3 linked regions of the Oryzias latipes genome follow. The protein of the gene in region 2 interacts with the protein of the main gene of each other region in a pairwise test. Links are inferred from orthologs where the notes say so. Each region holds a gene or a part of one and is shown on either strand. Other genes may lie near its edges. The genes, in order: myo5b, bnip2 and frk.

Region 1 (3,652 bases), on a different chromosome or scaffold from region 2:
GAAGTTCCTGATGTTCTCGTGTCTCGGATCAGACGGGTTCCTTCAGTCAGAGCCCGATGAAGCTCTTCAGGCTCTGAACTCATCGCCTGCAGCCTGAACGGAAACAAAAAAGAGTTTCCATCGTAGGTTCGCCTCTGATCCGACCAAAGCTTCCAGCTGATCTGCTGGTGGTTTTGGGACGGGAGAGAAGGTTTAGTCTCTGGCAGAGGTCACCTCGGTTACTGCGGTCTTCCTGGTCCCCCCATGAGTCTGGAGCAAACCCTCGTCTTCTTTCAGTTTCAGATGGTGGCCGATCTGTTTCTGGACAAGGATGATGCCCCGCCCTCTTCCAAGCCCTCCAGGGTGAACGTCAGAGCTCTGAAGTCGACTCCAAAAGCTCCCAACAAGGAGCACAGGAAGTCGGTGGGGCTCCAGGTGAGCTGGCAGGTCTCCCCAGATCCTGGACCGTCTGGAGTTTGGACTGATCTGTGTCTGGGTTTCAGTTCCGCTCGTCTCTGCACCTCCTCATGGACACGCTGAACGCCACCACGCCCCACTACGTCCGCTGCATCAAACCCAATGACCTTAAGGAGGCCTTCTCGTGAGTTTTTCTGCTAGATTTAGACTGGTTTGTTGGTTCTGGAAGGTTCTATCAGGGCTGGAAGGCAGGATCTCCTGGAGAACAGAGATGACAGAACCTCAGACGGTCCGAACCCAAGCCCACCACCATAATCTGGTTGTTTGCTTGGGTTTGACATCTGCTGCCTCTCATTGGACGGACTCCTGTGGATGTGTTTGGGGGTGGGGCTGAGGTCACATGATCACAGCATAAAGGGGCGGGACTGCCGTCCCTGGAAAGCAGCAAAAATATGGGATGATGGTTTGACACTTTTCAATGATGTTTTGGCCAAATGACCATCTTCAAACAAGACCCAAAAAGCAACCCTCATTCACATTAGAAACATGGTCTCACACACACACACACACACACACACAGAGGCCTGTGCACACACAAACCCAGGTGTTACAAACATACTTGTTGGCTCCAAAAACCTTCACATACAATCATGTCAACATGTAAACAACACAACTACACTTCACACACACACGCGTGTGTATAGCGTTTCATTCTGTCACATGATCACATGTTCAGGTGGGTGTTTATCTTCTGCTGGGGTGGATGCCCCCCCCCCCCCCCCCCCAACACCCTAACAAATGCTCGTAGGGTTTCTGTCCCTTCATGTGAGTCCAGAGGTTCATGACTTCCTGATGACATCATCACATTTCTGCCAATCAGCTGCACCCTCGTGACCTCTGAGTTTGGTCACAACCGCGGAGCTGCTGTGTGAGGAATGTGCTGTTCTAGATAATCTAATCGGGTCACGCGGTGTTAGGCATCCGCAGCAGACAGTCGGGCCGTTGCCCGTCCGTCCCGATGTCCAGCAGAACCATGAGGTGAGCGGCTGGGTTTGCTCGGGACCGAAAGCACCTACATCTTTCAAATGTTTGTGTCAACACAGGTTTGATTCCCGGCGAGCTGTGCAGCAGCTCCGGGCTTGTGGAGTTCTGGAGACGATCCGGATCAGCGCTGCTGGGTATCCGTCGCGGTAAGTTCAGCACAACTTTTCCTGCATCTGTTCTGTCAGTCACCTGTTGTAGTCATGTGACTCTGCATGTAAGCGTGTGCACGTGTGTTCAGGTGGACGTACCTGGAGTTCTTCAGCCGGTACCGGGTTCTGATGAAGAGATCCGACATGACTGCTGCAGATAAGAAGCTGGTCTGTAAGAATCTGCTGGAGACGCTGATTAAGGTGAGAAGAAAGCGGGCGTGTGCGGCGGCACGACAGCCGGGCAGATCTGCATCCACGTTCCTCTGTGTCGGCAGGAACCAGACATGTTCCAGTTTGGGAAGACGAAGATCTTCTTCCGGGCCGGCCAGGTGGCTTACCTGGAGAAGCTGCGGGCCGACAAATTCCGCTCCGCCTGCATCGCCATCCAGAAGACGGTCCGGGGGTGGCTGCAGAGGATCCGGTACCGCAAGATTCGCAGATCTGCCGTGGCGCTGCAAAGATACGGGAGGGGGTACCTGGCCCGCAGGTGAGTCCCCCTCAGACGAGGGACGGTCCAAGGCTCTGGTCCTTGAGCAGCAGAACCCTTAACCTTCTCCTGTTCTGTTCACCTGAACTCCAGAACCGTTCAGGTCCTTCAAGGAAGAGGTTTATGGATTTGTCCGGTTCTCCTTCAGGTACGCAGAGTTCTTGCGCCATAGCCGGGCCGCCCTGTTCTGCCAGAAACAGTACCGCATGGTGAGAGAGAGGCGGGCCTACCTGAGGAAGAGGAGGGCCGTTGTCACCATCCAGGCGTTCACCCGAGGAACGCTGACCCGCAGGATCTACTGGGAGGTATGGACCCAGGTTCTGTTCGGTCTGGTATCCAGAAGGATGAGAGCAGGGTTCTTCAGGGTTCTTCAGGGTTCCTCATGCAGAACTGCAGGATTAAGGTCCCCTGCAGGTCGGATGTTCTGTCTGCTTCTCCTCCCAGGAGGTTTCATGAACCCAGAGCGGATCTAGTCCGACCCAGATCCTGTTGTTGCTCCTCTCAGAGAGGCTTTGAGGAGCAGGAACCTCCTCAGATGCAGGAGGAGCAGTTCAGACGTCTGCTCCCACAGGAACACACACACACACAGGAACACACACATATTCACACACACACACAGGAACACACTCACACACACACAGCTCTGGGTTGCTGCTGGACCTCACGTGCACGTTTCTTCTGCAGTTCCTGCTGCACCACAAGGCCATGATCATCCAGAAGCACGTGCGCGGCTGGCTACAGAGAAGGAGGTTCAGACGTGCGCGCGCCGCCGCCGTGGTCATTCAGTGTGCGTTCAGGTGCATGCAGGCCAAACGGCTACTGAAGCAGCGGAAGATCGAGGCGCGCTCCGCCGAGCACCTGAAGAAGCTGAACACCGGCATGGAGATGAAGATTGTGCAGCTGCAGAGGAAGATGGACGATCAGGTGACCGTGCACGCACACACACACACACACACACACACACACATGCACGCAGGTCCAAGCTACAACCCTGAATGTGTGTGTGCGTTAGACCAAAGAGCTGAAGGTCCAGAACGAGCAGCTGGTGACGGTAAACGTCACTCTGGGCTCCGAAGTCTCCAAGCTGCAGAAGGAGCTGCAGGAGGTCCGGAGCCACCGGAGCGACGGAGGCCGGGAGCTGCAGGAGGAGCTGGAGAGGCTGCGGCAGCAGCTGCAGGAGGCCATCGCCGCCAGGAAGAAGCTGGAGGAGGAGCACGCCAGCGAGAAGACGGAACTGTCACAGGTGAAGGAACGGCCCGGTGAATCTGCAGAGCGGGTCAGGAGGACGGAGAGCCTGACCGGAGAACCGTCTCCTTTTGCTCCTCAGAGGGTGGAGGAGCTGGAGGAGGAGAACACTCTGCTAAAAAGCCAGAAGGAGGAGCTCAACCAGCAGATCCAGCAGCAGAGTAGGAACAGCAAAGGTGAGGAACCTTCTCCAGCGGCTGGAGGTCAGAGCAAAGAGCAGAAACGGATCCAAGGTTCTCGTGTTCTGAGAGTGGGAAGCGTGTTGCGTGTTACAGTGGAGGCCAGCAGTGCGTCTCTGCTGGCGGAGCTGGATGAGGAGCGACGGCGGTAC
Region 2 (3,652 bases):
AGCAGCTGTTTTCTCACTCCACCCTGATGCAATAAAAAACAAAAGTCTTGAAATGTATAAACTATAATATTTCTGTTTTGGTAATGCTAAAAATGTTGAGATGTTTATGAATGGCAATGTAACATTTAAAAACCACATATTTGTAGTTTTGAGTTATATACTTTTGTTTTCCTCCTATTGTGCTTAAAATGAAGGCATTTTGACCTTTTAAAATATCAGGCATTAAATGTGATTACGCACATTCATTTGGTGGATACAGCTTTTCAATACATTTTCATTAAAATTCTTTTTGTATCTTAAATTTTCAGTAAACGAAATAAAAATTCAAAACAGAGATGTGACTTATTGTCTTTACTTTGGTAAAAATAATGACGAGATTGTGCTCACAAATACCCATCCACCACTAGAGGGCGCATTCAAGAACACGGTTACAATCAGGAAGTCCTGTAATTTGTTGTCGGACTCCTTTTGTTGGCCAGGAATGTGCATGACATGCTGGTTTGGTTTGAAGATTTCTGCTTTTATGTCCAGTTCCATACGCAACATACTTGTGACCATTGATGAGAAAAGTGGCATAACGACGTTTTGACTAAAATGTGGCCCCAAAAAAAAAAAAAGGTTATTTTCTCCAGGCACGATTTGAGATCGTCAGCAGTAGGCACTGGCAAAAAAGGTCCATTCAAAAGGCTTTCTATGAAACTCTACGACTCAGAGACCTAAAATTCCATTTAAAAAGCAGACCATACAAATATATTAATCTCTCTCCTTTGACACCATTTGAATATAAATATATATATTTAAATGTAATAAAGCAGAACATGCATTAACCACTTGTAACAGAGTGACTTTAGCGGTGAAGATACAACAGAAACGAATGAACACCAATAACCCAAAGGTGACATAACAGACGGGGGTAAATAAAAGGATTAAAAACATTCCAAAAAACAGAGCATTAAACGGCTTGATACAAACATACAGCCCAAAAAAAAAGACATGATGATGTAACAGGCAGGAAATCTTCAAAAAGCCACTTTCATGATGCAAGATGCGTTTACAGATCATTCTGAAGAAAAACATGGATGCGACTGCAGTTCCCAACGTTTTTTGCACGTCTTGCAGAGTCACTTCGGAGCAGCAGAGGCAGCAATCCCTACTTTGCTGTGCATTTCCTGGTCGATTCTGCAAAACAGATCCAGTAATCAGGACACTTCTCATTTACAGTCGTCAGGGGGTGTATTGGTGGTGTATCGTTAGGTGTATTGGGTTACCCCACTTTCAATGAACCTTGACTCCTAAACTGATCCACACCTTTAAAGGTTGAGATGGGTGTCTGATAAGAACTTTACAACAACCTCATGATGGGTCTGAAGAGCAGGAATATCAATACAGTTCTGCTGAAGACACTAAATGAATATTTGTTCCTGCTAGTTTACCGTCTGTCACATGTCGCGTCTGCACACAGAAAGTGTACTAAAAACTCATGCACTTTTGTTGTCAAATGCCAGAAAGTTGAGCGAATTCATGCCTTAATACGCTGATAACACACACAGTGAAGATCCCAAAAGTGACAAGTTTAATGTACCTGATATTTATTATCGATGTGCCCACCCAGCTAAAGACCTCTAACAATCATCAAACATCGGCAGGGAAAAGCAGTGGAGCAAGTCATGCACAGGGGAGTAAACAGGTTGGGTGGTGTTCAGTGAGGGATGGTTAATGGACATTACTGTAAGAGAAGATGAAGGTGAATGTGCAGCAGTGCAAACACGCACACCACAGTGACTCAGATGAGATACTTCCTTCCTTTCCGTCTTAATCTGTTCAGTTAAACAGACTTGACGGACCTAACAAATGCTAGCCACGCTAGGCCTGTTTCATTGCCTACAATCCAGATTCCACCAAATGATCAACATCACTGAGAAAGATTGTACTAAAAGCTTCATAAGTGGGTTTTACACCAAATGCTTTTTTGAAGTAGAAAGATTTTTTATGGGAATATTGCAGAATTGGACTAGACAACAACAATTTGTTTTCCTGGAAAAAAAATGTCTGTTGAACTGGAGAGAATGCAAAACAAACTCAATAAATCCTAAATCTATGAAGAGCGGGTGCCTTAGTGCATCTCTGAAAGCTACCAGATTCTCTAATTGTTAGTTCCATAAAAAATAAAAAGGATGCAGTGACCAACCCTTGAAGAAAGTGCCAATACCTTTTTGGGTTTTTCCTATTTTTTTCAGCATCAAACCTTTAGGAGGGGGCAGGGAGACTGGGTTAAGCACATGAAACATGACAACTAACAGCAAATTCAACAGAGCAGACACTTCTTCCTAAATGTGTTAGGTTGAGGTGGTGTACTGCCTTTAAAAACATTGATGGAAAATGTTCTGAAGGGCAAAAACTGTTCAGCTGCATACACAACACGCATTCAAGTGACCACTTTAGATGTTAAGTCTGTGTAAAGGTGCAGATGAGGGTTTCAGGCTCATTCATTCATCTTTTAATCCGTTTTGTCCCTTTCGGTGTCACAGAGCTGCTGGAGCCTATCTCAGCCACTTGCGGGCCAAGGCAGGGGACATCCTGGACAGGTCGCCAGTCTGTCACGGGGCCACAATGACAGGCTGAGAGAGCACATTACTGAAGGTGGATCACACGCCCTGTGTACGGAGCTTTACGCAGGACTGTTTTTATTACGGTACATTTTGTCTGTGCCTTATTGTCTTAAGATCATCTGAGTCAGAATGATAAAGGAACTTTGCTTTTAATTCTCTTTTTTATGGTAATGGTTCTGTTTTAGGTCAAAGCATGCACCTCTCATCTGAGGATTTAATTTCATCCCGGCCCCCTGAGACGTGATAACTGTCCCTTTCATTTAAAATGATTTAGGCTACATTAGTTATAGTTCCCCAAGAGTAACTCGCACAGAAGACTGCAACTCAGTGGACTGTATCTAGTAGATATGGTCACAACCGGCGGATGAAGTCCGAACTGTCTATTCAAGGAGTTTGAAGGATCACACCTGGACTCTCACTGCCAATTAAAACTCAAAAGAAATGTTTTGGAAATAAACATGGGCCCAAAAAGAGCAGAGCCAATGAAACATTTTTTTTTACTTCTGCTGAAGTTTTGCTTTGAATCAACAATAGAAATTTGTTTAAAGTAGGGATGTCACATTATCGTGCAATTTGCAATTGATTACAGTCAAATTAGCGCGTCTTAAAAAAAAAAAAAATCATGTTTATCTAATTTCAAATCTTAAACAATTGCCATGTTCTCTGTTGTAACTGTTTACTTGGATGGATGTTTTTTATTTGAACACACCTGAAAATGTCTCTTACATTGCTCCCAGTGTGTGGCTTTTTAAAGCAATTATTGAGTAAAGAATAATTGTGATTAATAATTACAGGTCACAATTAATTAATTAATTGCATAAAAAAATGAATCGTCTCTTAAATGAATTAGTCTACACCTACATTTTCCTGCTGTCTTGACTTTAACGTACTAAAAGCCTGTCATTTTTTGGAAAAACATGCTACTTACTGTTTGATACAATCTGGTATTGACACATACTCCATCGGGACAAGTTCAGCAAGGTCCGTCAAGCTGTAAACATACTTGATTTTCTGGGTAAATTTAGAGCTGTAAAAAAAAAAAT
Region 3 (3,652 bases), on a different chromosome or scaffold from region 2:
GAGGTGAACTGATGACCAGAAGTTTGAAGAGTTTCTTAAAATTATCATTTTATTTAGTAAAGATGAAAGTTTTTTTTATCTCAAGAACACATCTTTGATCTGAAAATGATATAAAAAAATGGATTCTCTGACATTCAGATGTTATGTGTTCCTGATTATCTTGCAGGTGGTACTTTCCAGAAACTAAGAGGCTGGATGCTGAGAAGATGCTGCTGGCTGAAGGGAACTCTCACGGTGCTTTCCTCATCAGAGACTGTGAGAGTCAGAAGGGAGAGCTGTCCCTCTCAGGTCAGTCGAGGAAATTCATTTATAGAAATCGCTAATTGGTCCTGCAGGTCAGTTTTCCGTTAAAGGAAAAGATAAGACTTAAAATTCATTTCTGCAGCAGAGCTGTAAATCACAGCACGCCATTTTATCTTTTCAGGAAGCTGGAGTGCAGGTCAGGCAGTGTAATGACGGGCAGTTTAGGACTAAACAACCACATAAAAACAGAGCAATAACTTTATCTCAGTCCTATGATCTGATTTTGCTGTGTGGCCTGGTTCTTTCCACATGCAGAATTCCTTCCGAGCATGCTCATTCTTTAGACCGGTTCCTGATCCGTTTCCGCTCACACCCACTGTCGTCAGGATGAGTCACACATTTGAATGTGACTCATGGAAATCAGCTTTTATTTCAACGAGCCATCCAAAAATACCCCACAAAGACTCAAGACTCTATTTTTGTCCTCCTGACTGTAATCTTTGTTGGTTCTTGGTTCTGCTCCAGGCTGTAAGAACGTGCAGACATTTCCTCACACCTTCCGGAGTTTCAGACTCGTACTCAAGTGTTTGCTCTTCACAGAGCAATAAACGACCTGCAGACTCAGGAGTTGTTCACCTTTTGGCTTATCCTGCTAGGAGCATTTTGAAAATGGACACGGCTGATCAGTCAGGATTTGTCAACACTTCAGTTCAAGTTCAGTGAGCTGTTGAAGCAGAATTAACCAGAAAAAACCCCCCAGTTTTTTTCATTTCAGTCTTGGAGAACAGCCTTCAATGTATTAAAGTGCATTTAACCACAGTCTGAATGGAAATGTATTTATTAGTTTTACTTTAGCGCTTGTTATTTTACTTTTCCCTAAACTAAGCTTATAAAGGCTGACTGAGAAAATAATGCTTTATGTTTTATTGTCTCATGAATAAGGCTTTACAGGTGGGGGTTTTCTCTGACTTGGAGTTTGAGTTCAATGTACTTTTAAGCCTCTTTTGCTTTAAAACAGATCATAAACTTTATCCTATGATCCAAGTGGAGTTTGGTTCTGAAGCTTTTTTCTTTTTTTCAGACAAACTGAGCAGTGCAGGTGATTCTGGCTGCACTGATTCATGCTTTAAGAATTCCCAAATCTAAAAAAGTTTAAGTCTGTCATTTTATTTACTTTAATCCTTGACTTTATTTCTTTTTTCTAGTATTGGACAGTGGAAAGGTGAAGCATTACAAGCTAAGGAAAGCCCCCAACGGTGACTTCTTTGTGTCTAAGAACAGATCCTTTGCAAATTTGAAAGAGTTGGTGGAATTTTACTCCAAACAGGCTGACGGTCTGTGCGTACGTCTTGGCCAACCGTGCAAAAAGGTGAGGTTTATTGTACTTTCATTACCCAGACCTGAAACAGTCCAGTTCACCCACACTGGCTCCTGTCTGTGCAGTTGGAGGCCCCGCAGACCTTCGGTCTGTCCTACAACACAGCGGACATCTGGGAGATCGATCGCAGCTCCATCAAAATGGAGAATAAACTGGGAGCCGGCCAGTTTGGAGAAGTGTATGAGGGCCTGTGGAACAACACCACACCTGTAGCTGTGAAGACCCTCAAACCCGGTACACAAGCATGATCTCCTTTGTGCATCGACAGTGAAACATAATTAGTTTTTCCGAGCAGGACTGAGCAGAAGATGAGATCCTTTTAGTCGTTTAAGCATTTAAAGCCATAAAGAAGGAGGCTGAAAAGGAAGAACAGCTTTTTTCGAGAAAGCAGGAAGTTGAAATCCACCTGAACTTTGTTCAGTTTTCATGAAGTTTGGTCGGGTGTTATCACACGACGGCAATAAGGAACTTTTGCTCTTATCACTTTAATGTACAACGGTTTAATTGCACAAACTGTTTATGGTTTTTATTTAGAAATCAAGCAAATTCTTCAGAATAATAAAGTTGCCAAGAAAACAGATGAATTAAATGCAGCAGTTAGGAAACAATGAGATCAGACCAGAGGTCTGGGTGAAAACTTCAACAGGAGGGATGAGTTTGGATGAACTTTTCAGAGGGAGCATTCTGATCAGAAGCTGTCTGAGAATGGTTTTGTAAAGCAAGAACTTGTAGTTTTAGCGATGAAGACTTGGATGAGTGTCGTTAGATTCTGTCTGAACATGAAATCCTGAGGAAGCGGAGCATCTATTCACCCTTAAATACCACTTCAGATCCATGACCTGTGTTAAAGAAACTCTGTTCCACCCCTCAGGCTCCATGGATCCGAAGGACTTCCTGATGGAGGCTCAGATCATGAAGAAGCTGCGGCATCCCAAGCTAATCCAGCTGTACGCCGTCTGCACATTGCAGGAGCCCATCTACATCATCACTGAGCTGATGAAGCATGGCAGCCTGTTGGACTACCTGCAGAGTAAGACTACCTTCCTTTAAGCTGCTTCTGCTCCGTTGGAGGATCAGGCTCCAGAGCCGCGCTTCAGATCACAGCTGGCATCATGGGATGCTGCACAGACTAGGAATAAAACAGACTGGCTAAAAATGAGGAAGAGTTTAGGTCTCATTTTAAATAATACAGGTGTGCTGACTGGTGATGCTATCTGGCAAGATTTACAGTAGCTGTATTGATTTACATAAAAAGTAGTCTTTGTACCAAAAGGTCTAGAATTTCTAAAAGCAAACGTGGGGTAAAAGATTTTACCCAGAAATCTTGTTTTAAGAATGAAAATGAAGTATCTGCAGAGCCATTTTGATCCTCAAAACTGGGTCAGATGCAAACTAATCAGATTTTTTAGCCTTTCATTCCATCAATCCATTTTTTTCTCTTTTTATTTGTGTAGTGAAAACATAGTCAACCATGAAAAATAGAACATAAAGAAGTTTACAAACCCATATTTTCTTTTTAACATCACAACCTAACATATACAGGCAGCAGGTTAAAAGAAATAATAATTAAAATAAAATAAAAAAATTAAAAAAACAAAAAAACAAAAACAAATCACCAATCAACCTTCATCACCAGCAGCAAAAGGCTAGTACAGGTTTTTTTTTTTTTTCACATTTCACCAGAACAGAGTTCAATCCAAAGAAAGATTAGTCTTATCCAGAACTGGTTGCCAGACTTTTTTAAACTCGTCAATGTTGTCACGAAGCGCATGTGTTAATCTTTCCAGAGGAAGAATCTTCAAAACCTCTGTTTAAACCAATCCTCTATGGTCGGAAAATCCAGATTTTCAGAATGGTTTTTCTTGATCAATCCGTTTTTAAAAATATGTTTAATTCCTTTTGGGGCCACGGGGTTGTTGGAGCCTATCCCAGCCACTGTCGGGCCACAGCGAGCCATGCAACTACACAACCACAGACATGTTCAGAGACTATTTAGATCATGTAAAACACCTGCATAGACCCAAAAGGATT

The links.
Region 1: the proteins of bnip2 (region 2) and myo5b interact in binary tests that used the Homo sapiens proteins (3 or more experiments, as listed by UniProt). The two-hybrid records come from large-scale screens. The link is inferred for Oryzias latipes from reciprocal best matches to the Homo sapiens genes BNIP2 and MYO5B.
Region 3: the proteins of bnip2 (region 2) and frk interact in binary tests that used the Homo sapiens proteins (3 or more experiments, as listed by UniProt). The two-hybrid records come from large-scale screens. The link is inferred for Oryzias latipes from reciprocal best matches to the Homo sapiens genes BNIP2 and FRK.

The regions. Positions count from the first base shown.
Region 1 is NC_019870.2:377,197-380,848, reverse strand, and holds part of myo5b (unconventional myosin-Vb), read left to right. Parts: intron 1-276; coding exon 277-414; intron 415-482; coding exon 483-580; intron 581-1,499; coding exon 1,500-1,586; intron 1,587-1,678; coding exon 1,679-1,790; intron 1,791-1,864; coding exon 1,865-2,076; intron 2,077-2,224; coding exon 2,225-2,381; intron 2,382-2,760; coding exon 2,761-3,000; intron 3,001-3,088; coding exon 3,089-3,319; intron 3,320-3,403; coding exon 3,404-3,497; intron 3,498-3,596; coding exon 3,597-3,652. UniProt on the Homo sapiens protein: May be involved in vesicular trafficking via its association with the CART complex. The CART complex is necessary for efficient transferrin receptor recycling but not for EGFR degradation.
Region 2 is NC_019864.2:17,091,660-17,095,311, forward strand, and holds the end of bnip2 (BCL2/adenovirus E1B 19 kDa protein-interacting protein 2), read right to left. Parts: intron 3,637-3,652; coding exon 3,538-3,636; coding exon of another isoform or gene 3,534-3,537; intron 2,246-3,533; coding exon 2,210-2,245; intron 1,727-2,209; exon of another isoform or gene 1,583-1,726; intron 1,180-1,582; coding exon 1,122-1,179; 3' UTR 337-1,121; downstream 1-336.
Region 3 is NC_019882.2:21,458,188-21,461,839, forward strand, and holds part of frk (tyrosine-protein kinase FRK), read left to right. Parts: intron 1-166; coding exon 167-288; intron 289-1,448; coding exon 1,449-1,612; intron 1,613-1,686; coding exon 1,687-1,855; intron 1,856-2,492; coding exon 2,493-2,651; intron 2,652-3,652. UniProt on the Homo sapiens protein: Non-receptor tyrosine-protein kinase that negatively regulates cell proliferation.